Arabidopsis thaliana: one gene and its partners. The protein of the gene in region 2 purifies or fractionates together with the protein of the main gene of each other region. This does not show direct contact. Each region holds a gene or a part of one and is shown on either strand. Other genes may lie near its edges.

Region 1 (8,793 bases), 4.6 Mb from region 2:
ATCAATATGTTATATGTATGTCTTGCAAGATACCTACCCACCAAAACCTTCAACCTCCCCACCTGTTATTAAAAGCAAGTCTATAGACTCTAGTGACATTCTTGGCTTCGATCTCTATTATTACCTTTCAAAAACCAACAAAATATTATAAGAACATTAAAAAGAGAATGATTTGTTTTGTGTAAATATAGCCTTTGTTTAAAAACAAAGCAAATCCTCTCATTGAAGTAATGCATATATGCTCTCTGCTGATTTGATGTACAAAGTGAAAAAGGTCATAGCAAAGGTAAGAAATGTTGGGACATGCTAGGCTACTAGCAAGTGATGAAGTTTATATACGCATAGATAACATATAACATAATTTTTGAAAGAAAAACAAACTGACATATAAAATCAAAAGTTCAAAACTCTAGTGAAGCACTCTAACATTTTCCTTATTACAATTTTCATATAGACTCAAAACAGTGAATTCAGGTGGTAACATTACGACATTATTACAAAAATTATAAAACTATATTCAAAAATATCAAATCAATTTCTAAGAATAATTAAAATGTTAGACAATGAGATTTTAGCTAGGTCTGAAAATTAGTTATGGATTGTAAAGTATAAACAAATTTGCCTTAAAGAAATGCAATGATGAAGAAATCTATGAGTGTTAATCTTTATCCAATAATAAACGTTTGAGAGACATATGAATCTTTCTCTTTTTCTTTAAATCCAACTTTAACCCATTCTTCATAGAAGAAGGCTCACGATCAAGCCTCCATATCTTTCTCTTTCCCACTAATCCCATGAAAGTCTCAGTTTATAAAACGTTAGCACTTGGCAGTTCCCTATACAACAATCCACTTCACCACACCAATATTAGTCTTGCAACCCAAGTTTCCACTTCTTCCTTCGACCACGACGTCCTCAACATATTCTTTATTAATATTCTCTTGAAAACAACCACAACACACACAAAAGCAAACTTTAGAAGTGATATATCCCCACACAACAACAACAACATCAACAACAATGACGAAATCTGCAACTCTATTCCTTCTCTTTCTCACTATCTCAGCCTTCACTGGTACGATATCTCTTCTCCTTCTCGATAATTTATGAAATGGGTTTTGTTTCTCGTTTTGATTCCTCTCAATAATAGTGACTTTGTTCTTTTGCAGATGGAGCTCAGCTTATAATAGTGAATAACTGCCAGGAGAGCATTTGGCCGGGAATTCTCGGCGGCGGAGGCCAAATCACACCAAGAAACGGCGGATTCCACATGGGAAGCGGCGAAGAAACCATCATAGACGTACCGGATAAATGGTCCGGTCGAATCTGGGGTAGACAAGGCTGCACCTTTAACCAAAACGGTAAAGGCTCATGCCAAACCGGAGACTGCAACGACGGCTCTATCAACTGCCAAGGAACCGGCGGTGTACCACCAGCAACCGTAGTAGAAATGACATTAGGCTCATCTTCCTCTCCGCTTCATTTCTACGACGTAAGTCTCGTCGACGGTTTCAATCTTCCGGTGTCGATGAAACCAATCGGCGGTGGAGTTGGATGTGGCGTTGCGGCTTGTGAAGTGAATTTGAACATTTGTTGTCCATCAGCTTTGGAAGTTAAGAGAGATGGGAAAGTGGTTGGTTGTAAAAGTGCTTGCTTGGCGATGCAATCGGCTAAGTATTGTTGCACCGGTGAATATGCGAATCCTCAGGCGTGTAAGCCGACTCTGTTCGCGAATCTGTTTAAAGCGATTTGTCCTAAAGCTTATAGTTATGCGTTTGATGATTCTAGTAGTTTGAATAAGTGTAGAGCTTCTCGTTATGTTATCACTTTCTGTCCTCCAAAGTGAGAGGCTTCTGATTTTTATGTTATGTTTATCATGCAGTAGCTTGATTTGGTACTTGTACGGTCTGTTTTTAGGTCATTGAATGAGAAACTGAGAAAATTTGAACTCAAAATAGAATCAAAATTTGGTCATTATACAGTGGTTACCATCCTTTTAACTAGTGTTCTAAAGACACAAGCTTTAGCTGGTGGGTCCAAAGACATAAAAGACGGTTTTAGTGCTTACTCATGATATAAGGAAGCACAGACGGTTTTGTCTCTTTGTATCTTTGTCTCTAAAGAGAAGAAGGTTCGTTGAAGATTGTGGTCCATAGTGAATCTAAGAGCTGCCTCTCCTCTTTAGCGGCTGATAGATCTTCTTGTGACATAAACAAGCTCATTGCTTTGACCCGGCTGATTGCTTTGATCCGATCTTTTAGAATCTGTCTGAGTCTCTCATCGCCTTTCACTATGCTAGAACCACAAGTACTACAGTCTTTTCTAGCTTTCACGAGCTCAAGCAATCCTCGAAGAGCAGCTTCTCTTACATCAGCATCGAAGCTAGACACGAGGTGCATCATCAAATGGTGAAGCCCGAATTCTATAGCAATATCGGAGTCTGAGTCATTCTCTTGTAGAAGATAATGCAACAAGTTTAAAGCTTTCCTGAAGAATGAGAAAGTAATGACAAAAGTTTTGAAAGTTAGACAACAGCAGAACAAAGGTTACAACTTTGTGTTCTCTCAAAGTTCAGAGGAATCCAAGCATGAAGAAAAGTGAAGAGTATTATTACCTTTGAAATCTCACACTATCAGTTTCCAAAGCATCTTTTAAACCAGAGTAACCATTTGCAATCCGGAAACCTGTGATCCCAGGTTTATTATTGCGAATCAAAGCTGTACCCCAAATTTACCACAATACATTCATCAGATTTACGATAGACATTTTTGTTTTTGAAAAAGGCATTCGACCATCTAAGTATATAGGATAGAACTCAGAGCAGCTTACATGATATTGCACCGAGAGCCTGTGTTCGAGAATGCATATCGGTGTCTGAAGTAAACCTTAAAAGCAAGGACTCTAAACCATTGGCTTCCATAACTGATTCTTGACTCCGAGGATTGTTCTCAACTATTGTGCTTACAACATCTGCAGACTTAGCCCGGATATTAGCATTGGAGTTTTTGAGGTAGCCAAGAAGAGGTACCAAGCCTCCAACGGAATGAAGATCTGCCCATACATTCAAAGAAGTACAAGTTAAGCCCAGCAATCAAAAGACAGATATAGAACAAAGTTACAAGGTCAAAGTATGAAAAGACTCACCATTAGCCATATCAATCGATTCAACATGTTCCTGCAACTCATCCAACAAACCTACCAAATCATCATAACTCAAAATCTTAGTAACCAACAAGAGAGAAAATAGCTAAGAAAACAATAGTGAACTCCATATTGAACCTTCAATATCTTGAGGGGTCACTTCATGAGCCTCCAAAACTTGTTGAGGTGTCTGCAATACCTGTGTAATCTCCTTCAACCGCTTGACTACATCTACCGTTTGTGATTGCATAGCTTCTGCAAACCATTTTCGATCCTCCTCACTGTCTAACCAAACAATTTCATATCATCAAAAACCATCTACCAAACAATACCAAATCAAATAGTCAAATTCCACTACATGATTCATTCCTCATAAGAAACTGACGCAGAACCACGCAAATTTCTAAAACAACCCAACAAACAACATAAGCTCCACTAAGTGACCAACAAAACCTGAAATTACAAAGAAACTTCGTACCTTAATTGGCAAGTAGGTCGAGTACCATCGGAGTGAGAGAGACTCCACTTAAGCAGACCGTCCCAGTTAGGTCCGTCTTTCGCCATTGAAGCAACGGAAGAAGAGAAAGACTCTGCGAAGGTCAGAGAGTCAGAGACAATGACAAATAGTTTGGGCCTTATGTTCACGCTAACTTAATAATGGGCTTAACAGGCCCAATTGTTAACTCGAAATATCTTGAAGGGGCCTACCTTATCCACACACAAAAGAAAACTGAAGAACCCCAAAAATCCCAAGTGAAAACGTTATCCACTTCGAGAGAGTGACACGTCACGAAGCAAATCCAAATTCAAAACCTTTCCATAAAAATCAAATCACTTCTTCTTATTACTTCCCCCAAATCGAAATCAGTCACTTAAAACCCTAAATTATGACGATCGCACCGGCATTGCAGACGACGTTCGTGTCATCAACCAACTTCCTGAAACATTCTTCTTCGTGGGGATCACCATCACCGAACAATGTGATTCTTCCCAAAAACAAGAGATCTTCTTCCTCCGTAGTTGTCGCCGCCGTCGGTGATGTCTCTTCTGACGGAACAATCTACTTAATCGGCGGAGCCATCGCCGTTGCACTCGTCGGAACTGCATTCCCGATCCTCTTCAAACGCAAAGACACGTAAACCACTCTCATCTTTTTACCTTGTGACTTAAACCGGTTTTAATGCTCGTTAAACCAAATTTTGACTGATCAATTGCAGATTATCATAGTTTATTGTCCGGTTCAACATTCGAATTATCTTAACCGGACTAAATCCTCTGTTATGGATTTTGAAAACGTACATAAACTCTTAGCCGATGTAGTAAACTGAATCAGAGATTGTACATTGTGAGTTTAAGCTCTGAAATGTGTGTGGTTTAGGTGTCCGGAATGTGACGGAGCAGGATTTGTGAGGAAAGGAGGAGTGACTCTGAGAGCCAACGCCGCACGGAAGGATCTTCCTCAGATCGTTTGTGCTAACTGCAATGGACTCGGAAAGCTTAACCAGATTGATAAATCATAAGTCTTCTTCATATATATGTAAAAAGCTCCATTTCTCATTCCTCTTCTTCTCTACAATATACCTCTGCAAAAGTAGATAGCTTGGAATGATCAATGGTTGCTTGGAGATGGGTGGATATATATATATATATATATATATACAATTGCTTTTTTATGTGTAAGTTTCTTTGCTTTCTTGTTCTGTAAGAAATTGTCTGAGTATTATTGTAAGTTTTTAAGCAGTTATAGACGAAGGTGCTCAGCTACCAAAATAAAACGAACAAAAAATAAATTTAACTGCTGCATAAGTAATTAGAGATGAACATTTAATGGCCAATTAATGACCCAACTGTCATTGGCTTCTTACATCACATGCATATCAACTAATCTTCATTACGTGTCTATTTCTGTGTTTTATAAATAACCTCGCCAGAAACGTTTTTATATTTTTTCAAGCAAATAGTATTATTGTATAAAAACTAAATTTTTTGTAAATGAACCTTACGCGTCAGAGTAGAAGATTCTTTGAATTGTTCTTGAAGTTTCTTAGATTTAGTAGTGATAGGATAATGGGACATTATTAAATTTATCTTATTGGTGGAATAATGGGAAAATCGTGAATTTGTTCATTAATACATTTAAATTATGGGGAAAAACAAATTCAGGGAGACATCATCATAGGTAAGGAGACTGCTAATTAAAGAATATAAAGAAACGTGACAATAATTTAGAACTTGAAAACAGAACACGTTTCGTTGCGTCCCCTAGTTGCTTCTTCTCAATCTTCTTCTTCTTCTTTTTAGACCTTTTGTTGGTTTTTGAAACAGAGCACAGTAGAAGAATACAAACAAAGTAGATGAAGCAAAACGAGACATTCGATCAAGAAAGGGAAGATTTGTATCACACGTTCGATGAGGAAGATGAAGAAAGCCAAACAGAGAGCTCCGTTCCCTCAACTCCTTTATCTCGTAACAGATCCGAAGACGTTCCCGTTCCGTGGCCTCGAAGTTATCGGTAAATCATTTTCTTTTTAAGTGCTCTGTTTTTGTAAGAGATCTGAAGAAATTATTCTTTAGAGAATAATTTTGGTGTTCTTGGGGATATTTTCAGACAATCTATGGATTTGTTGACTGGAGTTACACCTCCGACTAGTACAAGTTTTGTCTCTTCATTTCGCCAGAGACGACAAAGCTCTGTTTTCGGTTCGTTTACTTCTTCACCAAGCAAACAGCAACTTCTCATAGACAAAGACGAGATCCAAAGCTCTGTTGTGTCCTCCATCAAATCATTTCTTGCTTCTCATCTCCAGCTATCAGTCCCAGGGGATCTTTTAACTCCCCAAGAAAACCGCAGTTGCACATTCTCTCAATCCGTTCTCAACGGTAATAATTGCATTAGGAATGTTCAATCTGAGTTTTGGTTAGGTTTTCTCTGTTTTCCAAGATTAGTCAAATAATCAAACTGAAACCAAATCTGATATATATTGATGAACTGAGTTTACGTTTAGTATAGCATTAGTGCGAGAGTACTGAGTTTACGATTATCTTTTCTATTTAGATTGAGATTCTTAACATTCTCTTTTTGCAGGAATTAACGTTCTATGTGGAGTAGCTTTACTTACAATGCCTTACGCAGTTAAAGAAGGAGGATGGTTAGGGCTTTTCATACTCTTCTCCTTTGGCATTATCACTTTCTACACCGGCATTCTCCTCAAGAGATGTCTCGAGAACTCCCCTGGAATCCACACTTACCCGGACATCGGTCAAGCTGCATTCGGAACCACTGGACGCATCCTCGTCTCTGTAAGATTATTTTTCAAATAATCAATCTTAACTTTGTTTGTGTGTGAATTGTGATCCTAACTTAACTTGGGTTTGGAATTACATTTCAGATACTTCTCTACGTAGAGTTATACGTAAGTACCAAACTCTCTTTCATGTTTCATATCATGATTGAAGAAATTGAGGTCCTAACTTTGAATTTTTTTCTGTAGGCATCTTGTGTGGAATACATAATCATGATGAGTGATAATTTGTCAAGAATGTTCCCAAATACCTCCTTATACATCAACGGATTTTCTTTAGATTCTACTCAAGTTTTCGCCATTACCACGACTCTTATTGTTCTTCCTACTGTCTGGCTCAAAGACCTCAGCTTATTGTCCTATCTCTCAGGTTCATCTCGTAATTGGCACACACAACAATCTCTGAGATTTGAACTCTTTAATTAAATTTAAGAAATGTTTTGTTTCCTTAGCCGGAGGTGTCATCTCCTCAATCTTGCTTGCGCTTTGCCTCTTTTGGGCTGGATCAGTAGACGGGGTTGGATTTCACATAAGCGGACAAGCTCTTGATATAACTAACATACCTGTCGCAATCGGAATTTACGGGTTCGGTTTCGGGAGTCACTCTGTTTTCCCCAACATTTACTCATCCATGAAAGAACCTTCCAAGTTTCCTACGGTGCTTCTCATCAGGTAAAACAACTTTTGCTTATAGCGCAAGAAACCTCTAGGTCTAATTTTCATCACTTCTCATTTCATAAAATAATTGTTTGTTGCGTTATGTAGTTTTGCGTTTTGCACTCTATTTTACATTGCGGTAGCGGTTTGTGGATTCACGATGTTTGGTGATGCGATTCAATCCCAATTTACACTGAACATGCCACCACATTTCACCTCATCTAAAATCGCAGTCTGGACAGCGGTTAGATAACCTTCCAAATCAAGAATCTCAGACCTTCTTCACATTCTGTTCATAATAATTTTCTCTCAATTCCTATCTCATTTGTATGATTAGGTCGTAACACCAATGACGAAATACGCTTTAACGATCACTCCAGTAATGCTAAGCCTAGAAGAACTCATACCGTCTTCATCAAGAAAGATGAGATCCAAAGGTGTCTCTATGCTCTTTAGAACCATATTAGTTCTCTCCACTTTGGTCGTTGCACTCACAGTTCCATTCTTCGGTAAACTATCTCTCTCTATCAATTTCTAGTTACCCTAACTTCTTGCACAAGAAACCCCTTTGTATAAAACAATGACCGAACTCGTTAATGTAACAACGTTAATTGCAGCTACTGTGGCGGCTCTGATTGGATCTTTCATCGCAATGCTTATCGTAAGTTCTCCAAGAACAAATCAATCTCAATAATTGCCGGAAAAATTAAGGATCAAAACAAGTTCTTGACGATTTCGGTTTTGGTCTTTTTCAGGCGTTAATATTCCCGTGTCTCTGTTATATCAGCATTATGAAGGGTAGATTAACTAACTTTCAGGTAAGAATATAATTGAAAACTTCGATTTTGATTATATATTTTTACTGTCAATACTTCGTAGAAAATTGAGACTGAAAAGAGTTTTTATTTTTCAGATTGGAATTTGTATTTTAATCGTGATAATCGGCATTGTAAGCGGTTGTTGCGGGACTTATTCTGCTATCGCCAGATTAATCGGCGAAATGACCTGATTGGTTTTGCAGAATAAGTACGTATATTCGAAGGAATAAACCGGTATATACTTGAATAAAACCGGTTTTTGATAAACCAATGGTTTTTTGTGTGAAGATAATCCAATTTGATTTTTTTTTTTGGTATTTTATTCATAGTTTTAAGTCCATTTTACTCAATGTAGTCTTCATTTTTTTTTTTCATTTGCTCATTTAAAAATAAATAAATAACAGAATATTTTGGAAAATGGGACTGGAGTAACACTTGCATTGATGGATTTACACAGTTTTGGAAGTTAGTCAACAGAGAAGACGAAAAGAACAATAATCAAAAAAATTGCAAATTCGTAGAATCCTAAAAATATCGTCAGCATCAAATCTACACCGCAATTAAAATAAAAGGAAACAAATATTAAAGAAACATTAAATAGTTTTCTCTCCATTGATATGTTTCCGTATATAGAAGAAATCTCTTTGACTCGCCGGAAAACAAAACCCCGTTGTTCTCCGTCTATCTCTCCCTCTCTCTCTCTGCACATTTCTTCTACCTTTCTTTGAGATTTGAGAAAACAGAGGAAGAAGATGAAACTCGACGAAGAATTCTTACACGACAGAGACCATTCGTTTCTGACAGATGACGAGGAAAATCAAGCAGCACTTGCTTGTTCCGACGATGAACACGACGGAGACGACGACGGTCGGAGA
Region 2 (12,264 bases):
GACAATACGATTGAGCGGCTTATGGACGAGTACGGAGGATTCGACTTAGTCATAGGAGGAAGTCCGTGTAACAATCTTGCCGGAGGCAATCGCCATCATCGGGTCGGTCTTGGAGGAGAGCACTCGTCACTCTTCTTCGACTATTGTAGGATTCTCGAGGCTGTTCGTCGCAAAGCACGACATATGAGGAGATGAAGGATTTGAAGACCCAAGTTGTTCTGTTTTGTAAGGCACTTTTTCACATGAATCGAACTTGTATTTTGCAGATTCTTGTTGTTCCTTTCTGCTAGCTAGATATACTAATCCTTGCAAGAATATTTTCAGATTTTAGTTTGGCAAGTCGTGTAACTAAGTTTCTTCCTCTGCAAGAATATTTTCGATAAGTTTCTCTCCAGTAGAAGCAAACTATTAAACCAAATCGAACCATATTAAACCGAAACCATCACATCATTTTTTGTTTTGTAATTTAGATCGAACCATACTAAACCGAAATTATTTCGACTTTTTGTTCTTGGGTTCGAGACGACGACAAGAGACAAGCTCTGTCTGTGGTCGGGAAATCGAAACCAGAGCCTTGGACTGTGTCTCTGCTCTGTGGAGTATCCATTTTCGATTTCTTGAAGGTGAATCCAGCGAATCCTTAATCTCAAGCTCCGAGACTGTGCAATAAACAAAACAGTAGCTAGCAGCAGCAGCAACACATGAACTCGTGCAAATCCCTTATCCGTGCCTCAATCTCTTCCTTTCCATTTGTTCCTCTTCCAAACCCTAATTTCTCTATCACCTTCATCTCCGTTCGCGCCTTTTCTCCTCTCTCTGTCCTTCATCCAAATTCATCATGTACTCTCTCTCACTCTTTCGTCTGAAGTTTCAAGCTTTTATTTTGAATTTCGTTATCTGGATTCGTTTGATTTTGATGTTGATGAGATTTCGCGCCTAACAGGTATTGTAACAGCTCGACGCACATTTCATGGAGCTGTGGCTCTTTCACCGGAGAGCTTAACGGAAGAGTCTCCCAAGGATACTGTGAAAGGATTGTTAACAACCAATCGTGGTGAGGCCTCAAGCTTGATGAAGATGGAGCGGAGGTGTAGCTTAAGCAATGGTGAGGGTGATTGTAGAGGATCTTGGTTTCCTTACGAGGATAGGTTCAGGTGTGGTGAGGTGCATCTTAGTAGCCGTGAGGTGTTGGAGGCGGTGAGTCCTCATATGATGGAAGAGAGGACAGATAGGTTCAGGCGTGTGGTGGAGAATCGAAGCTACTCGGTGTGTCTTGTGGTTGAAGGTCTCTCTGATTTTGGAAACATCTCTGCTGCTTTCCGCTCAGCTGATGCGTTGGGGATTCAATCTGTACATGTTGTTTCCTGTGACAGCTCCAAAAGGTGCCCCTTTGAGGTTGGCATTTTCTGTTTCTTTGTTGATTCATAGGATTTGAGGTGAAACTAGGGATTCTTGCATTTTGAATTTAGACAATGTGCGGTGACCTGAGATCATAAGCTGGTGATTGAAGTCTGTAGAACTTTTGATTGCATCATAAGCTACCAAGATAGATCATGAGTTGGTAGTTATGTTTCTTGGATCACAGGATGGGGATAAGTGAGGACTCTTAAATTTCCGTAAAACATTGAATCTACGCTGATTGTGAGTCACTACTATTACATTTTCCTTCTGAGTCCAAGATTGATCATAAGTTGGCTTTCCTTTTTCTTAGTTCATACGAGATAGAATGGAGAATTGTTACGGTTTTTTGAACTATGCAGTGATACAAGAGTCATAGGTAATATCTGAAAAGATTGATCCATTAGTTGTTGACTGAAATGTAAAAAAGGTTTGATTGCATTGTGTGAATTCATTTACCGTGCTATGTGTGTGTTAATGTATATTATATATGTGTAGGTATAACGGAAATCGCCATGTGAGTATGGGAGCTGAGAAATGGCTGGACATTGAGTTTTGGGACACACCTAAAGAATGTTTCAAAGTTTTGAAGTCTCGCGGTTACAGAATAGCTACAACTCATTTGGGAATGGACACGGTAAACCTCTAAAGATTTGTTTGTATATATTTGTCATCACCATTATTTATGAGGCAAAATGAATGACATTCTCTTGGTGGTAATATCTTATAGGTTTCCATTTACGATATGGACTGGTCATGCCCAACAGCAATAGTTGTTGGAAACGAGGGCAGGTAATGAATATCATCTCTTAGTCCAAATTTGAGGGTTCATAATTTCTTAATGGATTGATTGGGGAATATGCAGGGGAATAAGTGACGAAGCGTTGGAGTTATCAGATCTGCGTTGCAGTATTCCGATGAATGGAATGGTTGATTCGTTTAATGTCTCAGTGGCTGCAGGGATTCTGATGCACCACGCAGTCTCTGATAGAACCACTCGTCTGGTAAACCTATTGACACAGCTAGACAATCATTTACGTTAGTTTCCAGTTCAGTTTATGCTTTAATTACATTTTATGGGTTTGAAACAGGGAAGCCATGGAGATCTGTCGGAAGCAGAGAAAGAGATATTGATGGCTGAGTTCTCACTTCGTCACAGTAGAAGCTCAATTTGCATTGCTTACGAGTTCGCTAAACGTAAACAACAACACTCTACCTCCTCCTAATTTTGAAACCGTTGTCTTATTCTCTCGCTGTTTTGCGTGTTATAGGCTTCGAATGACGCCTATAAAAACTCTTTCGAACTCTTTTTTTGGTACGACGCTTGCTTCATGTACAACTCTTAAATTCTATAAAAGACATCCTTCTGTCGAACGTATTGCCTTTTCAATCGAGTGAGTGGTGTTGATTTCACCATTCTTCTGCATCGACCTCACGCCATCAAAGATTAAGTTAGAAATTTCGCCTTTCAAGAATTGGTCACTCATAACTCTTATGCCAACTAGTAATCCATGAACAAACGTCGAAATGCATAGAAACTCGTGAACACATCGAACTTATGATAGAAACAGTTCTAGACATGATATTTATAAGTTTTTTTCCCGTGGCATCAAATAAGTGGAAAGCAAGCCCTAAAATAGATAGATAAATCCTAATAGAAAAGAAAGCCTAGCAAAAGTAAAAAAAAAAAGTCCTGAATAATTGTTATTATTTTGTTACTTTTGGAACACATAATTAATCAATTAACATATCACTGTTTGTAGTCTGTATCCTTTCCTTGTTGCTGCTATCTTCTCCACTTGTCCGTTTCTTAGACTGATGCGACTTCACAAACTCATCGATTTTCGCCTTCAACTCGATGTCCGGTATCAACATATCCGATGTCAAATGTGCTCGGTTAAATGGATCATGCTGCAGCAAAAGTAAGAGGATCATATACAAAGCCAAAATCTTCAGAGAAAGAGAGATGTGACTGATCAGTGATCATCATTGTGTTAGATAAGCTTACATTGTCGCTGAGAAGATGACGTTGAATGATGGGACGATCAACTGTGATTCTTGAGCTTGGAAGTATTACTGGATCTCTCATTAGCGTGTACTGCCAAAAAAGAAAAGGAAAAGAAAAAAACAAGAACAGACATTAGTGCATGGTAATAAGACAAGATTTAGGTTTAAATTAGTGTTTCTTTCAACAGATAAAGACCTGAATTGGGTCAAGGAACTCGTCTGGTATTTCCCCAAGTGCAGCTTCAGCATCCAGAGCTTCAGAAGCAGCAGCTTTGGCTTTTGTGCCTAACTCCATAAACTCTTGAATGATTCTTCCCTCTTCACCTATTCTCCTAAGCACATCTGCTCCTGCATTGAATAGCTGCAAAAACGGGCACTTGTTTAGTTCAGTAGAGACGCATCTATTATTATGAAAGAGGATTTGGTTTAGAAAGAAGGATCTGACCTGTTCATTATATGATCGGCCATCACTGGAGATGGCACCAGGGAATATGTTTACTGTGTCTCCTCTTGCGAGATTAACATATATGCGAACGATCTTCAAAGTTCACAATCATATCAGTCAGTTTTTTCTCACATACTTTGATCAGGAGAATTGAGTAATTGTAATCACTACTAACCTGTTTAAGTAACTGTTTTGGACGGAATTCATATTTCTCAGGATCTTTCAGGCTTAAAGATTTACGCTGTGGACCCACGAGTTGTAGCAAGAAGTAGTTAAGCATGTTGGCAACCCTCTCAACCTAAATAAGTGCAAACAAACAAAGAAACTCATCAGTTGGGTAATCATAGGGCAGGTTATCATTTCAGGAATATGGTCAGGTACCATCTCAGGGAGTAGGAAAGGGGCAGTGATCTCCTCGGATGTAAATGCAAGCATAGTCACATCTTCATTTGCCAGCTTCATGTCGATTCTAACAATCTGCAAAGAAAATCAAAGTTCTTTATGGGATCGGGATTCGAGTACGAAACAAGATATAAGAAGTGATAATCCAACTAACATTCTCCTGCGAATGGAAGAGTCTTGTTCTCTCCTGTCTCTCTTGAGTTGGTCTCTGCTCCCACTCTGCAGTATTTGACATGTCTGCCTCGATTTGTTTAATCTCGAGAATTTTGTTTAGACTTTCATCCAGAAGATAGATGCTATCATTGACTAAGAAGTTTAAGAAGTTCAAGTACACGCCCTTCTCTTCGTCTTTTGCAATCTGTAACACATCAAATTTGGAAAAACATTGGAACATGATAGTTGAAGTTCAAAGTCATGGCAAGCTCACTAAGAATTTACCCGTCTCCATGCATTTCGGTGACTAGGCACCTGCCAGAGATACTCTAAAAGCTCGGCAATGTTGTGGCGAATATTGAACTTGTCATAGAACTGCATTTGGATAACTAGATTTCAGTTCCAATAAAAGCAAGAACAAATGGCTATTCTGGCTTCCAGAGCTAACATATTCTCAAGTACAATGCAATAGAGAGAAGTTCATTACTCCAGGAATATTATAGCCACTAAACAAAATCTCTTGCAATCACCTGAGTGTGTGAACCCGTGAACTCAATGTCAACATATAGTTTCAGTAAATTCCTGACAAGATACTCGAGCGATAACTGATGTCCCTCAAAGAGAGTAGATGTAGCAGAAGAAGAACTACTGCAGGAAAAAAAAAAAATTAGAATGGTGGACCACGTTACTGCAGAACTTGTTGCATTAGCAACACAAATTGACAAATGTACAGCTTTCTTTCATGGGAAGAAAAACACCTTGAACGAGGCATCCAGCAGTTCAGAACTTCAACCATCTTTGCTCTGAGATACGGGTTTCTAACATATTCAGGACTTGCCATGAACATAATTATGAAGTTCATAAAGTCGTCCTTAAGAAAAGAGAACAACCATCATCAGTGCAAATACAAAAAGAGAATTTCTACAGACTGATGAGAGCAAACTAAGCATACCAGCGGCACCCCGTCCAAAGCTTTGGGAATTCTTGAAGCGAATATCAGCAACTCCATTGCATCTTCAACAAAATGCTCAGGCATACAGGAGAATTCCATAGGGCAAGTTGACGGTAGAGGCATCTTAAAGCCACCGACTAGTCCAACTAACCAAACAACCATTAGGCGATAGAAAGACAGAGCTCGCTGAATAAAATCTCCATCCTTCAATACAGTATAGAGATAAGGCAGCTATTACTATCATGTTACCGGTCCAGAGGAAAAGCCGAAGATGTTATCAGAGCAGAGAATATGATTACAAACCCTCAATATTTGGGCCTCATGGCAAAGCTTTTCCTGCGAAGACAGCTCTAGTTCTTTTTCCATTCGGGATATATCAAGTTCCAACTGTGGAGAAGGTGCTTGATCTCTCATGGCTTTTAGCGTTGCAAGATTATCTTCACCTCTCGAGATGTCCTACGTCATGCGGAAAAGAAAAAGTGAAGAACCATACAATAACAATCTTCTGCAAATTCAGGAATCAATGACACTTTCACAATGTAAACATGTGACTAAGTTCAAGTTTTTGCTATAGTCCCTTCTCGTTTTAACTAACAAACGCCTTAATAAGACAATATGTAAGGAACCAAATCAAATAAGAGCTTTCTGCAAGATAATTTATCACAAGTCGTTTTTTTTTCCAAAAAATCTTCAATATTTCCAGGACGGGAAAACTGTGATGATGATTACCTGAGCAAGATGTTTAAAGTCAGAGAGTGCTTTTAGGAGACCCAAATTGAGGACCCTAGCAGTCATAAAGAAGCATTCACAAATGAAAGTGTATTTAGTTGCTGACTTTGCATTTTGCCCAGAAGCATTACTACTAGAACTTGTGGCTTCTTTGGATTGTAACAAGCGACTTTCGTTCCCATTTTCTCGCCCAGCATCATTTGCGTTTGCCATAGCATCTTTGCCAATCCACTCAGTAACTTCTTCGGATGATGCATGGAGAGCGGTCAAGTCGCTGGTGTGGATCATAAATAATATTGCTCATCATGAAACTATTAAAATCAGTGAGGAAATACAAGTAGAATCATCTTGAGGACCATACCTTAATTTTAAGCGATGGCCACAGAATGCGTATTTTGGATCAATCTTATCCCTTTTCGTTAAATGTGGGTCTAAAAATGGTTCACAGAGCCGGAGCATTACTGCACTAAGGTTAACAAACATGCCTGAGCTAGCACAAGAGACTGGATCAACCTGTCATACAAGATAAACATATTACAGAATGCTGATTTGAGCAAAAAAGACAAATACCAACTTGATAAAACCGAGAGGAGACAATAGCAATTCATGAATAAAGATCCGAAGTATATATGCATCTTATAAACGGATGATTACCTGTATATGGGCTCTAGACGCATTTGCATTGATCACCTCTGCAAGAAACTGTAGAACACGCTCACGGGTATCAGTACTTTTAAGTAAAATCATCAATACATCATGCAGCCCGCTGTACAAAATGTTCATGAAATTTTTAATCGTGGAGAAGGATGATAATAAATCTGCGGGACGACGTTCCGATGCTTCAGAGAAACACTGCTGCCTGATATTCACAAAAACAATAGACATATATCAGCATTTTCATAACAGGTAAAGTATATCCTCTGAGGTGGATCAGGAAAACTCTTATGTTCGCACAATTAAGCCTTGTCAAATACTAAATGGACAATCAAGATTCTTCAGTACAGACCAGAAAAAATGCTCAAAATAATGGATTTCATCCACAATATTCTAACTTAACATAGTGCTTACTAATATTTCTGTTGGTTTCGCCTCTACTGATCATCTAACTATGCTAAATTTATATAATCATGCTTAAAATATGTATACAACCTAACAGTGGCATCATATATAAGCCAAATATATCTGCTTTTTTCCTTTTTTGATCAAGTCTCTCTACTATGAGTAAAAGCTAATCAATAATTCTTACTATCCAAACTTTCTCAATAAGAAAAGAGCCCCAAAGACTACATGATTCTCAGTAATAGAAACCCATAAATAAGTTGGAACTCACCCAACATCAGGTTGACTCTTGAATAGTGTATTATCTGGCAGCGCACTAATATGGAAGAAAGGCCCAAGAATGCTAGTCAACTCCATTGCTCGGCCGTTCATATAGGCACCCCGTGGAACCCACCACTCATGACTAACCAGAGATTTAGCTCCTACTGGTAAGCTAACAAGATACTTGAGTGCCCTCAGTGGTGGCTGGAAATCTCCAAGCACTGATACATTTATAACCGTAGACCTCAAATCCTCATACAGCTCCTTTAGAATCGAGTCCAAGCTATCAAAATCCGAGTCTTTGAAAAACTCATCCAAAAACCCAGGAGGAGCTTGAACCCCACTGCTACTAGCTCCAAACATATCCAACGAACCAGAACCAACCTCAGCAAAGATCAACGGAAGAACCGGAGAGACATTCCTCTTCTTCAACCTATTATCCAATCCACCACTAGGTTTATCCGAGTTCCCAAACATGTCAGGATTCCCCAAGTGAATCCTACAGTAAGAAACAGCAAGCTTCTTCGCTTGTTTAGTGACAATCTCCATCTCCGATCTCAGATTCTTATCCTTCATCGACTGGATTTTCTTCGATTCGTCGTAAGCACGACGGTGGCAACCGATTAAATACGGGAAAGGCGGTTCGGCGTCGGAAAAGTCGCCGGAGAGACGATCTATGAGAACTCTCTCCATCAAATCACGAGAAAGCAAAAGCTCTTTACCTTCGCTGAGAATCTCAGCGGCCGTCATCTCCAAGTAAACAATACGAGGATCGGAATCAGTTGATTCCGTTAGGGTTACATAAAATATCTTCCGGAGGATTATATCCTCAATTTCAGCCGGCGATCTTTGAGGTTTGCTCGTCGCCATTGATTTTACGAATCAAATCAAACACTCGAAACTCGATTTGAGAGATAAATATAAGAATTTTTTTTCTTAAACTTGTATTACCGATGAATCAAAAGCGAAAGAGTTTGGACTTAGCAATTTAAAGTATAATTAAATTTAGAAAAACTAAAATTCACGAAAGAAGAGAGAAACCATGGCGAGAGATTTGGAAGAACTTTCTGGGAGTAGGTTTTTGTTTATGAACTCTTTTGGAGTCTCTGAACGAGCTTTAGCAAGTCCTGAGCTTGGACAAAAAGTCTATATAGGATATATGCAAACGTCGTACTTACTAACGACGTCGTTTATACTTATTAAGACAATTACTTTTACTGCTAATAAAAAATAAAAAATAAAAAATTACCAAGATAAACTCCTCCAAGATTTTGTTGCTCAAAAAATCTACTTTGAACTTAACCGTAAGAGGTTGAAGTATCATTCCAAGAAAGATTTTTTAAAGAAGTAAAGGTAAACAATTGAGGAGGAACAATGAACACACAATTATTTGGACCGATATAAAATTGGAACTTTTTATTATTATTCGAGATGATCATGCGGTCGAATGGACATGAACATAGCTGCATACTGAAGTAACCGGCGTTCACTGTTACCTTCAATGCTATTCTCCGACACAGGACTCATCGAACCGCCGATGTTTTCACCACGGGTTCTTTTCCTACGCCGGCGCCACGCCATCTGAATATTTACCGCTGCCCACGTCCTCCAGTTTGAGGAATAGTATCTTGCGGTCCGCTTAAGCCGCTCGTTCGCGAATTTATAACGGAAATGATCGGTAATGTACCTAAGATCTTCGGATCCGAGGGAGAATGCCTCGATGTTTTCTAGGCAGACAAATGTTGCTGAGGAAGGGGGAAGACGGTCCAGAAACGGGCGACGTAGGCACCATGAGAGTAGCTCGTCGCCCAAGTAACCGCCTGGTTCTAGTGTACTAGTGGCTAGGACGCCTTTGCTTAGGCTCTGTATACGTTTGACTCGTCCACGCATGATGAATATCATTCTCTGTACAGGATCTCCTTCACGGATGATCTGTGACAATCAACAAAATCGAAGAACCTCAGATTTTACTCTTCAAGTAAACTCTTAAACCGAAACCGAAGCAAAATATTGGAAATATAAATTTTTAGAAATGATGGGATGAGTACCTTTTCGTCTTTAGAGAAGACTCGAGGCTTAGCCCGATCGCAAATGTTGTCGAGGATCAAGTCGTCCATGCCCCTGAACAATGGCACCTGAGAAAGATCAAACATGTCAGAGACTTAACACTTACTGCTTTCACAAGTCTTAACAAGATTGTATAAAGTCTGCTTCCTAGTACCTTGTTAATGAGATCAAAGCAAAGATATCGTTTGATATCTCTTCGAAGACCCGGAGGCAAATCATGTATAAGTTCTAGCTCGTCTTCACCACCCAAGGCATTCCATCTCTGCCGCTCAAATCGCCTAACCCTCTGTCTTAACCGGGAAGGTAACTGCCTACGTTTCATCCACCATTCCATATCCCTACACCGTATCTGCATTTTCCTTTTTTTCGCCATTACCGCATGCAAAAACACCTTCAAAATATTGTAAAGTAAAAAGCTTTTTAAAATCTTACATTCCATGAAAACACAATATCATAGAAAAGACATATTCTTGCATAGTTTACCTGAATGTTTCCTATCAACAGCGTGAAAAGTAACAAGCCACTTAGAACCATAACTATACTGAAAATAACCTCGAGCCAGTTGCTTGTGGGCTCAAGATCATTCGCAAATGTGCTGTAAAACGCGACCCCCAAAACAGATTCAGTATGTCAATCAGAGAATTTTTTTATATCCAAGATGTAAACCTTAAGCTCAGAAACAAAGCAATTACCTGAGAGTCATTAGGCCCCAGAAGATGGGGTAAAGGATCTTAACCGCAAGAGAGTTGCTGGAGATGACTGGAAGTGCCCAACGGTAGATACCATATCGGAATGGTCCGTTAGAGTCTAAGCACATAGGCTTATTGACCACACTGGTAAGGTTTCCAGATAAGCATGGATATCCAACTGTGCTTGTCGGTGACACAAATTGGTAACAGACCTCTTCTTTGCAAGCCAGACTCAGATTGCAGTTCCCGGTTCTCATACATTGTTGTCTTATGCAAGAAGCAACACGCTGTATTGCGAGAACATACCAACATCCCCCAGCAACCTGAAACCACCAGAATTTCCATAAACAACAAACTTTAATTTCATATCTTAGGACAGACCTTAGTAGTACTATATATATACACATGGGATTTGTTATATTGCATTTGTTTTAGGACCTGAATATAACCTATTGTTGCAGGACATTATATTCAGGCAGAAATACAATATCTAGCTTGAGAGGACTTACATGAGAAGCGATGAAATATGCGATGAGATTAAGAGCAAAACCCCACCAAATAGTTCCAAAAATGTAACCAGTGACCTTCTGCATCCTTCTCATCAAACAGATGCAGTGATAAATCTTGGGGAGGAACTGGAACAAGAATATTAGCAGCAGAATCGTCATTATCAGCTTAACCTTCTCTTCTCTTATCAGTTTCGGCACAACTAACCAAAACACTGCCTGCAAACAAGCAAAAACACAAAGTTCACATCTTATCTGCATCTCAAATCATGATTCATCAACAGGTAACACTTTCAAATGTAAATATGGGCTTTATTGATAGTAATAAAAAGTTTAGGGTTAATTTCATAATATTGGAATAGTTGGAAGGTTGTTCTGAAAATTCACCTGAGGGACAGGGAGGATGACGATAACATCAAACCAGAAGCCAGTGAGAGAGCGTGCGTAGTGAGACGCGATGGCGCGTGGATCCCAAACGAGCTTCCCACAACCAACGACAAGCGACTCTCTCGAGACGTAGGCCAGTCTGAATTGAAGCCACACGTGCCAAAGATGAACAGCATCGAGACACGTGCGGAGCACCGTGACCACCGCGGCGAACGCACCATCCATGTAAAGACACGCCGGTCCGGTAGTTCGGCCGATGGAAAGCGCGTAGAAGAAGAGCGGATCCACCGCTAAAGCCATCCCACGAGCTAAAAGCAACGCGCGGTTCCATCTCTGCACGCGCTTGCTCCTAGGATCGAGAACTTCACCAAACGGACCTTTGAGACGTCGGAATCTGGTTCGGGCTGGGTTAGGGACAGATCCTTCCTGGATCGGAACTAGAGAAGAGCCGGCGGAGGCACGCCACTCCGGCGCGTGAGCTTGATCGCAGCTAGTTGAATGGAAAGCTGGGACGCCTACTTGTGTGCAAGCGTAACACTCGACGGAGCTTAGCACCGGCGTCTCATCGCTGCCGCTGCTGCTCGAATCTCCACCGTTGATTTGGAGGTTACTGTTTTCATCGATCCCAGTCGTTTGTCGACGGAACTTATCGGAAAACAGTCCAATCCACCTGAAATATTCAAATTGTAATCAGGAATTAGCAATCTATCGCCAAAAATCATTCAGAATCATCTCACATTCGTTATATAGTACACAATTATGAAAATCGATTTCGTTGCTAGATGAACGATTTCGCATACTCAAGCGAGATTATAAGGAATTGCATGGTGACTTGTTAGCTATAGAACAGTTCAAAAAACGAGTGAATTTTCCGGGAAAAGTGTTTCTCGGGGAAAAATAATCAATCTCAGGTAAAGCTTGTAACCTCTGGGTAAACAGCAAAAGACACAAAATACATATTCAGAATTCGGGAGTGTTTTAGCGTGAAAGCACCATTAATGAACGAATATAGATATGAAAAAAAATGGGAATTGTGTGGTATAAAAACCTGAAGATGAAGTTGGGGTGAGAGGGCATGATTGAAATAGAGGAACCACCATGGGAGAGGGAGAGAAGAAAATTTGCAGGGAGTGATTGGGAGAGAGAAGAGTGATTTGTATAGAGAGGCAAAGCCGCAAGATTTGTGTGTGATACGTACGTCTCTTAGTA
Region 3 (9,085 bases), on a different chromosome or scaffold from region 2:
GCAAGTGATGATAGCAAAGGATAAGAGTATACAAAGCCCGAGCCATCCTCCTTCTTTCACCGCGTAAGGCATTGTGAGTAGACTTATTCCACAAAGGACATTGATTCCTTCACCAAAAATAGGTTCAACTTAAAGAGAGATTGAAACTTTTCTTTTTGTTATGACGATAAAATCTCTGTTCAACCGAACCGAATGCCCAAACCCTAAAGACTTTTGAGACAAAATCAATACCGATACTATGTCTTACCATTTAGAACAGATTGAGGAAACGAGCAGAAATTTGGTTCTCCATACGAGAGATCGGTGTTGGATAACCCGATCTGAGATGAAAGGAATAATACATCGTCTTTCTCAGAGAGCAGCGGTTGTTTGCTTGTGGAAGACGCAAACGAATTTGCAATAGAGGTTGGACGTCTCTTGTATAAGGAAGCGACAGAACTGGTGAATGATGTCTGAGAACTTCTCCGGTGAATGAAACTGATTGTAGGAGGTGTAACTCCGGTCAAGATATCCACAGATTGTCTATATTTTCCAGAAAAAGGAAGAATCTTCACAAACGTTATAAATTAATTCGTTAGATATCGAAAAAACAGAGGAATTTCTTTTACCGATAACTCCGAGGCCATGGAGCTGAATCGTTCTGAGATAATGAAGAATATGAACTAGAATCATCGTCTTCGTCATCGCAGGAGACATCAACTTGGCATTCCTCGTCATCTGTCGGAAACAATATGTCTCTTTCTTGCTCCTCAAGTTCCATCGTCGTTGTCTCTGTTTCAAAACAGAGTCGAATCAGAGCAACAAAGGAGCGAAATGAATACTATAAGAAAAAAAAAAGAGATCGAGCTCTGAGTTCGATTTGCTATCACGTCGAGTTTGTATTAATCCAATTGATACATGATCATAAACAAATTAATATTCTGGTTATTCTGGTCGTGATATGTAGTGTGGAAGTATTAGTGGCGGATCTACATTGCCACTAGGGTAGGCACGTGCCCCATACTAATTAGAAATTTTAAGCCATAGGATAATGAGACTATGAAGTCATTGTTCTATATTTGATCCATTGGTAATGATTATTCTCCAAAACATTGAGATGGTGGAGTTTCACTTCCTTATTTGTTCTATAAAATTATTGTTATAATATGTAATTTTATCTTTATAGCCACCTTTCAGTTCAAGTTTTGGGTTAAAACATGTTGTAAGATTCAATTTTCTTCTTAGACAGTTATTTTTCCTCTTCATTTTTCACCTCGCTATATTTCATATAAATGTATATGTGCCATATACTAGAAAAGTTTCTGGATCCGCCCCTCACATGTTCAAAAGTCAAAGGTATATGCGTGGAATTGGAAATTTGGAATGGATTTGATTTGTCAAAAATAAATTAAAAAAAAGTAGGTCGACGAAGGTTAAGATCTTTTTGTGAAAATAGAAGATTACAAGTTAAAACAAAGCTTCATTACGGTATTAAAATTACTGCTTCACGTTTCACAAATCTTGATCACTCTGTTAAATTTCATATAAAAAGACAATCTCTTATTGTTTCACAATTTAACATATGTTGTTTCATTGTTCTTCATTGTACCATCCAATTCAATTCTCCTACTAATCTTCCAATGGCGGAGTACGTCCCGCAGCAACCGCTTACAATGCCAGAGATTATGATGAAAACGCATATTCCAATCTGCCAAAAGATCAAATAGATAAAGTTTAAATTAAATTATTATGTAAAAAATATATTGACTCTAAACAATAACCATTTTACTTTATGACAGAAAAAAAGAATATATATATATATATCTTACTTGAGTCTTACTCAATCTACCCTTCAAGATACTGAGATAACAAAGACAAGGAAAGATAAAATCCTGCACGGTAAACAAAATATGAATCCTTTTTAACATACGTGATATGCCTATATAATCGATGATAGCTGTAATTATGTTAAACGGTGACTTACGACAAGCGTTGCGAGGAATGATCCCATCAAAGCCCCCATGATCGCTGCAAAGTTATAATTAGAACAAACGACGATAAATTAAGATGCTTTTTGTTGTTGTTGTATAGTTTCATGCAAAAAGAAGGTAAGAGTATTTTACCGAAGAATGGGAATGTAAGTGCGACAACCAAAGTAGAGAGAACTAAAATCGTTTTAATAAAGATAGATACTCCATACGATCTCATCTTCTCTGATGGCGGCATAAGTTCTTCTAAACCTAGCACAATCGGTGTGAGAGCTAACGCGTATTTGGTCATTGGTACTACCACCTTAAGTAAGAGAAAAAGAACCAATCACATTTTAGTAATTATATATATGTCGAGACAAACATGTTTACCGAGTTTTAAAGTTATATCTCACCGCTGTCCAAACTGCGATTTTAGATGCTGTGTACTGTTGTGGCATGTTTAGTGTAAACTGCGATTGAATGGCCTCACCAAACATACTGTAGCCGCAAATCGCCACGGCAATGTAAAAGAATACGCAGAAACCAAAACTGCAAAAAGAAACAGAGAAATGAAAATTTTGACCTAATATTATCTGAAGTCCATTATAAGTAACCTTAATCAAAGAGATTTTTCACCTAATGAGAAGCACCAAAGGAAACTTGGATGGTTCTTTCATGGAAGAGTAAATGCTGGGTAAAACTGCGTGACCACTGAACCCAAACCCGAATATCCCAATAGCGACGGGTAAGTTAGCGAGATCAAGAGCTTTTCCACCCGTGTGAAACCCGACTCCATCAACCGACCCAACCCAGAAGAGACAAAGAGCAAGCAAGATCGAAACAAAGACTCCTCCGGCTAAAAGAATGGAACACACATATTAAAGAATATATGAACGAATCTCGAAGCTATATTGGAAGGATCTTATGATAGAAAATGGAACCTGAGAGATAGGAGAGTAAGCTAAGGTCTTTGAGCCAAACTGTAGGAAGAACAATAAGAGTAGCTGATATAGCAAAGATCTGAGGAGAATCTAGAGATACTCCAACGATGTTTAATGTAATGTTGGGGAAAACTCTCGATAAATTATCGCTCATCATGATTATATACTCCACACAACATACGTATAACTCCATGTACAGAAGTATCTGCAACTCTCAAAAGAGATCAAGAACCCTATATATTAGTTTGGAGATATGTGAAGTATATATGTAAATCATTTCCATATAACTCACGGAGATGATGAGGCGGCCTGTAAATCCAAAGGCAGCTTGACCAATGTCCGGGTAGGTACGGAGATCAGAAGAGCTCTCAAGACATCGTTTGAGGAGGATACCGGTGTAGCAAGTGATGATAGCAAAGGATAAGAGTATACAAAGCCCGAGCCATCCTCCTTCTTTCACCGCGTAAGGCATTGTGAGTAGACTTATTCCACAAAGGACATTGATTCCTTCACCAAAAATAGGTTCAACTTAAAGAGAGATTGAAACTTTTCTTTTTGTTATGACGATAAAATCTATTCAACCGAACCGAATGCCTAAACCCTAAAGACTTTTGAGACAGAATCAATATCGATACTACTACGTCTTACCATTTAGAACAGATTGGGGAAACGAGCAGAAATTTGGTTCTCCATACGAGAGATCGGTGTTGGATAACCCGACCTGAGATGAAAGGAATGATACATCGTCTTTCTCAGAGAGCAGCGGTTGTTTGCTTGTGGAAGACACAAACGAATTTGCAATAGAGGTTGGACGTCTCTTGTATAAGGAAGCGATGGAGCTACTGAATGATGTCTCAGTACTTCTCCCTTGTATGAAACTGACCATAGGAGGTGTAACTCCGGTCAAGAGATCCACAGAGTGTCTGAATTTTACATGAAAAAAAGAAGGAAGAATCTTCACAAACACTTCAAATAATTTCGTTAGATATCGAAAAACAAAGTATTTTATTTTACCTATAACTCTGAGGCCAGAAAGCGGAATCATTCTGGGATAATGAAAAAGATGCATTGGAATCATCGTCGTCATTAACATATGAGACATCGACATGGCAGTCATCGTCATCTGTCTGAATCAATATGTCCCTTTCTTGCTCCTCAAGATCCATCTTCGTCGTCTCTGCTTCAAAACAGAGTTAAATCAGAGCAAGTAACAGATTCCAGGACAGAACAAACGAAACAGGAAAAAAAGGAGGGAACAGAGAAGTGAAATGAATATTGGAAGAAATATAAAGAGACGACGAAGAGACTCGGTATTGAGTTCGATGTGTTGTCACGTCTGACGTCTGTCAACTTTGTATTAGTCTTAGGAAAAAAACACTTTGTATTAGTCCATTGATACTACTTGATCATATGTAACGAATTAAATTCTGGTCGACTGGTCGTTAAATTTAGAGTGGAAGGTAACGTTCACATGTTTAAAAGGTCCAAAGTCAAAAGGTACATGCGTGGCATAGATTTGCCAATAAATTAAAGAAAAAAAGGTAAATTCAAGAAAGGCTTATCGAGCTAATTTAAGCCCAATAATACTGAACTATTTGGGCTTGAGTCTTAAAGGCCCAATTTGTGGAGGAGGCGTCATCGTCTTCGCTTTTCCTTTTCCCTTGAGAGGTCGTCGACGAGGTTTAAGATTTTTAAGAATGTTGTAGTAGCTTCGCGAATAATCTCAGGTCTTCTATAAAACCAAACTAGCGATTAGCCGACTCTTCCTCTTTATTATTACAAAGACGAAAAGGCTTCGAGTTTTGTAATTTCTTCTTCTGTTACAAGTTCTTTTCACTGTGAAAGTAATTCTTCAATGGCGAAAGACGGACCTAATTGGGATGGTTTGCTTAAGTGGAGTCTCTCTCACGCCGACGGTACTCGACCCACTCGCCAGTTGAGGTACGGACATTCATCTTGTAGTTGGTTTTTTAGGTTCTGTCTTTTGATTTGTCTGAAACTGATGGGATGCTTGGTGGGTAGTTTAGGTATCTGTGTGGCTATGATTGAGCTTTCACTTGAGGAGATGAATCTTATGAGTGAATTCGAATCTGGGTTTGTTTAAAGTAGTTTTCTTTTTTGAAGATATCTGTTCAGTTCATCGGTTTGGTTAAGATTCAATTATCGAATTCTGCTGTTATGTAGGTGAAAGGTTATCTATTTTCTCGTTTTTACATGAAACTCTGTTAATTTTTTTTAAGGGAATTCACGATTTGTTCATGTCAAATCATTCTGTATGTGTTTTATTGTGGATTGTTTTGTTGATTTGAGTTGTTTTAATGAGACAGTGAGGAGGATCGAAAATGGTTTATGGAGGCTATGCAATCGCAGACTGTAGATGTAGTCAAACGCATGAAGGAGATTACACTAGTTATGCAAACACCTGAACAAGTTTTGGTGGAACATGGAGTAACACCTGAAGATATCCAAGGTGCGTAATTTGTGGCTATAATACATAGCTTAGATCTTTATCTTTTGCCATTGTGTGTAGGGTACTAATTGAGTTTATTATTCTGGTAGATTTGCTGGATGAGCTGCAAGAGCACGTTGAATCGATCGATATGGCTAACGGTACATTATCTCTAACTTGGACTTTGCTTTTTTTTTTTTTTTTTTTTTCTTTCCTGTTCTGGTTAGCTCAATTTGAACATTGCTTGTAACAACTTGTTTACTTACTATTGTGTAGATCTTCATTCAATTGGAGGCTTGGTTCCTCTTCTTAGTTTCCTTAAAAACTCTCATGCTAATATTCGGGCAAAAGCTGCGGATGTCGTTAGCACAATAGTTCAGAACAATCCTAGAAGTCAGGAACTTGTTATGGAAACCAATGCTCTGGAGTCATTGCTCTCGAATTTCACTTCAGACACTGATATTCACGCTCGAACCCAGGCTCTTGGCGCAATATCATGTAAGCCTGCTTCTGATAGTTCATTTTTAGTAAAGATTGAGATGATCAAAAGCTTTTGTGATTTCTATTTTACTTGGTTTGTGATACTAAAAGAGACTTATCTTTTCAATATGGGATGTAGCTTTGATTCGCCATAACAAACCAGGAGTAACGGCTTTCAAGCTTGCCAATGGTTATGCTGGCCTAAGAGACGCCTTGGCATCTGATAGTGTGAGATTTCAAAGGTAACCCACACAAATATTCTTATCATCTGCGGATATAAAATCGTGGAAGATTCTTGAATTGTTGCTCATTTTCTTTATTCAAATTCTCCAGGAAAGCCTTAAACTTGTTGCAATATCTACTGCAAGAGGATGATTCAGACCGCAGTATTGCCACTGGACTTGGATTCCCCCGAGTGATGATGCATCTTGCCTCTAGTGACGATGCTGAGATCAGAGAAGCCGCTCTTCGTGGATTACTTGAGCTTTCAAGAGAGAAAAACGATGGAAGTAGCAGCATAGATAAAAGCGATGAGAAACTGAGGCAGCTACTAGAAGAACGGATCAAAGGAATCACCTTGATGTCACAAGAGGATCTTGAAACGGTTAAAGAAGAGAGACAGCTCGTGGATTTACTGTGGAGCATTTGCTACAATGAACCTTCTTCTCTGAGAGAAAAAGGACTTGTCGTTCTTCCCGGTGAAGACGCATTGCCTCCTGATGTCGCTAGCAAGCTCTTTGAGCCTCCTCTTAGAGCTTCTGCAGCAAACCGTAATGCTACTGAGAAGAAAGATGAACCTATGAAACTACTTGGACCATAGACGAGAAATCAAAGCTAAAACTTTTTATTACTTTTCCTTGTTTTTTATGTTTTGTAACTTTTCAAATTGTCAGAAAAGTTTCATAGATATATGTATTATGTCAATGATCAAGGGCTATGTTATGTTAATTTTTGTTTTCATCATTCGAGATCTTTAGTCTTGTTATTGTTGAGATTAAGAATATTCAGCTTCAATGCTTTTTCAATTCAACAAGTGTTCTATACGATTTCGGTTTAGCAACAGCTAATACGGACCCGATCTAATTGATCGGTTAAAATTGGTAACTTTGAATTGCGGTGAACCGAAGAACAAAACCAAAGCGAACGTCACAATTACTTTGCAATCCCTAAAGGGACAGAGTTCGAATCAAGGCAGTCTCACATATCGGAGAAATCTCTCGTCACGTCTCTCAGCTTCGCCTTCAACACCGTCGTCGCCGTCACGGCCAACTCCGGTATTGTTATATAGATACAATTACAGTGAACTAGATAATCTCATCAAACCCTGATTCTTTCCACTTCCTCGCACGATTGTGTGAAAACAGTTACTTTCGCTATAAATAGTCTGATCTTCTTTCTATTGAGCAGTAAGATTGGAAGCTGTTGTTTCGAATCGATTCAAGCCTCGAATCTGAGTTTCGGATCGATATTAGAAGCTAAGGTAGGAGCTTTTTGAGTGAAGGAGTTATGGTATGGTGTAACCATTGCGTGAAGAATGTTCCCGGAATACGCCCTTATGATGGTGCATTGTAAGTGTTTTTGATTATTCACTGATGTTTTGTTATCTTATGGTTTGCTCTTTAGGAGCTCAGTTTCTGTTGGATTTGTGGTTTCCAAGCTTCGAATTATGAAATATCATCGTTTTTGATTTTTACAGGGCATGTAATTTATGTGGGAGGATATTGGAGAATTTCCATTTTTCTACCGAAGTTACATTCGTTAAGAATGCTGCTGGACAGGTATACGCAGCTGAGCTTTAGCTTCAGTTACCTCTTTTGAAGCTCTTCTGTTTTAGTGCTACATATGTTTCTTCGGATGTTCTCGATGTGTCTAGTGGTTTGCGGATGTGATTAATAGGATGTAGGATTAGAGAGATGTGAGAATATGAGTTGGAGAATCTTGGAACTGTTATCACATCTCTGCTTAAATGTTCTGTGGGGTTTGTATGCGAAGATGAACTTTTTCCTTCAGACTGAAACTTTGCAAAGACCATATTATATGAAAGGTCAAAACTACCGAAGTATAAGAAAATGCACTAAGCAACCAGCTTTATTTAGCCACAACCAGTAGAAATATCATCGATAGACTTGACAATGGATTTGTTTCCAAGACTGTTGTCTCTTTAGTGATGATATCCACAGAGTTACTTGAGATTTATACAGCCTTTGGTTTCTTTGAACAATTTGGTTCAAGCTTACAAATTATTTCTGTTTCTGCAGAGCCAAGCATCAGGTAACATAGTGAGGAGTGTTCAAAGTGGGATTACAAGCTCACGTGAAAGGAGATTTAGAATAGGTATGCCCCTTTTTGTATATGTATATGTATCTGTGTTCGCTGTTGGCCCAAATTCTGCAACTGATACATCTATTCTACAGCTTTCGCTTATGTTTGACAGAGCTATTCCCTTCCCTTTTTATTGTATTTCGAACTTTTCAGTTCAGTAATTGCGTATGTGTACTCATTAACCCATCCTTAAATTTACTTCCAAATTCAGGCCATGTGACTGTTTCAAAAACCATTGCATTGTTAGACTCTTTACATTAATGCAATTTTGATTCTTATGATCTGACAGACCTTCGTCTTTTTGGCAGCTAGAGATGAGCTTATGAATTTGAAAGATGCATTGGGGATTGGTGATGAGAGAGATGATGTGATTGTCATCGCAGCTAAATTCTTTGAAGTATGGTTGGTTTACTTAATCTCTGAATATTAATTTGTAAAGTACTTTTACCCCTTCTTTTAACTCCATTAATCTTCTGCAGATGGCAGTTGAGCAGAATTTCACGAAAGGCCGCAGAACTGAACTAGTACAGGCTTCCTGCCTCTACTTGACGTGCAGGTTAGATTCCTAGTAATCGTCTTATTGCTCTCCTATGTTTTTTCCTCTTTAGAATACCTTGCTGAATTATGTAGTTGATGTTTTATTCGCTGTATGTTAACCATAAAATTTCATGATCTGTAGGGAATTGAACATTGCGTTGCTTCTTATTGATTTCTCAAGCTACCTTCGAGTTAGCGTGTAAGATGATTCTTTTTCATTTCCCTACTGTTCTCTTTCTTTTGCAACCTAATTACATGTTAAGTCTATTGCAATGACAATTCAGGCTTTGCTGTTTTGGTTTTATCAAATATTGTGCAGTTATGAGTTAGGTTCTGTATACTTACAACTCTGTGAAATGCTGTACCTTGTGGAAAATCGGAATTATGAAAAGCTTGTTGATCCTTCA

What was found.
Region 1: the proteins of AT5G15400 (region 2) and Fes1C fractionate together in Arabidopsis thaliana (co-fractionation; one large-scale study listed by BioGRID). This does not show direct contact.
Region 3: the proteins of AT5G15400 (region 2) and Fes1A fractionate together in Arabidopsis thaliana (co-fractionation; one large-scale study listed by BioGRID). This does not show direct contact.

Annotation. Positions count from the first base shown.
Region 1 is NC_003076.8:422,364-431,156, forward strand, and holds Fes1C (Fes1C), read right to left. Parts: upstream 4,016-8,793; 5' UTR 3,850-4,015; intron 3,754-3,849; exon of another isoform or gene 3,732-3,753; 5' UTR 3,706-3,731; coding exon 3,620-3,705; intron 3,427-3,619; exon of another isoform or gene 3,423-3,426; coding exon 3,280-3,422; intron 3,196-3,279; coding exon 3,145-3,195; intron 3,052-3,144; coding exon 2,830-3,051; intron 2,718-2,829; coding exon 2,615-2,717; intron 2,488-2,614; coding exon 2,118-2,487; downstream 1-2,117. Other genes in the region: AT5G02140 (Pathogenesis-related thaumatin superfamily protein), read left to right, coding at 1,021-1,075, 1,170-1,842, 1,918-2,074; AT5G02160 (uncharacterized protein), read left to right, coding at 4,029-4,276, 4,520-4,661; AT5G02170 (Transmembrane amino acid transporter family protein), read left to right, coding at 5,496-5,653, 5,750-6,021, 6,227-6,441, 6,531-6,554, 6,633-6,813, 6,896-7,115, 7,209-7,344, 7,438-7,609 and 3 more; AT5G02180 (Transmembrane amino acid transporter family protein), read left to right, coding at 8,671-8,793.
Region 2 is NC_003076.8:4,994,632-5,006,895, forward strand, and holds AT5G15400 (U-box domain-containing protein), read right to left. Parts: upstream 8,623-12,264; 5' UTR 8,277-8,622; coding exon 7,417-8,276; intron 6,946-7,416; coding exon 6,741-6,945; intron 6,600-6,740; coding exon 6,448-6,599; intron 6,361-6,447; coding exon 6,087-6,360; intron 5,814-6,086; coding exon 5,661-5,813; intron 5,562-5,660; coding exon 5,358-5,561; intron 5,277-5,357; coding exon 5,164-5,276; intron 5,054-5,163; coding exon 4,936-5,053; intron 4,781-4,935; coding exon 4,691-4,780; intron 4,611-4,690; coding exon 4,407-4,610; intron 4,328-4,406; coding exon 4,232-4,327; intron 4,149-4,231; coding exon 4,026-4,148; intron 3,944-4,025; coding exon 3,851-3,943; intron 3,767-3,850; coding exon 3,602-3,766; intron 3,497-3,601; coding exon 3,407-3,496; intron 3,310-3,406; coding exon 3,133-3,309; 3' UTR 2,858-3,132; downstream 1-2,857. Other genes in the region: DRM1 (domains rearranged methylase 1), read left to right, coding at 1-195; AT5G15390 (tRNA/rRNA methyltransferase (SpoU) family protein), read left to right, coding at 702-840, 944-1,382, 1,897-2,035, 2,129-2,190, 2,264-2,402, 2,490-2,624; DND1 (Cyclic nucleotide-regulated ion channel family protein), read right to left, coding at 8,829-9,338, 9,455-9,541, 9,628-9,864, 9,957-10,068, 10,166-10,485, 10,672-10,887, 11,056-11,725, 12,104-12,132. UniProt on the Arabidopsis thaliana protein: Ubiquitin-protein ligase that may function as an E3 ligase in conjunction with specific E1 and E2 ligases. May also function as an E4 ligase mediating the assembly of polyubiquitin chain assembly on substrates monoubiquitinated by another E3 ubiquitin ligase.
Region 3 is NC_003074.8:2,866,471-2,875,555, forward strand, and holds Fes1A (Fes1A), read left to right. Parts: upstream 1-4,499; 5' UTR 4,500-4,745; coding exon 4,746-4,831; intron 4,832-4,917; exon of another isoform or gene 4,918-5,217; coding exon 5,218-5,360; intron 5,361-5,449; coding exon 5,450-5,500; intron 5,501-5,615; coding exon 5,616-5,837; intron 5,838-5,958; coding exon 5,959-6,061; intron 6,062-6,152; coding exon 6,153-6,639; 3' UTR 6,640-6,862; downstream 6,863-9,085. Other genes in the region: AT3G09330 (Transmembrane amino acid transporter family protein), read right to left, coding at 1-107, 248-522, 609-760; AT3G09340 (Transmembrane amino acid transporter family protein), read right to left, coding at 1,580-1,687, 1,809-1,871, 1,964-2,007, 2,103-2,271, 2,363-2,498, 2,586-2,805, 2,891-3,095, 3,183-3,397 and 2 more; AT3G09360 (Cyclin/Brf1-like TBP-binding protein), read left to right, coding at 7,326-7,387, 7,516-7,597, 8,078-8,153, 8,450-8,538, 8,621-8,697, 8,821-8,877, 8,998-9,085.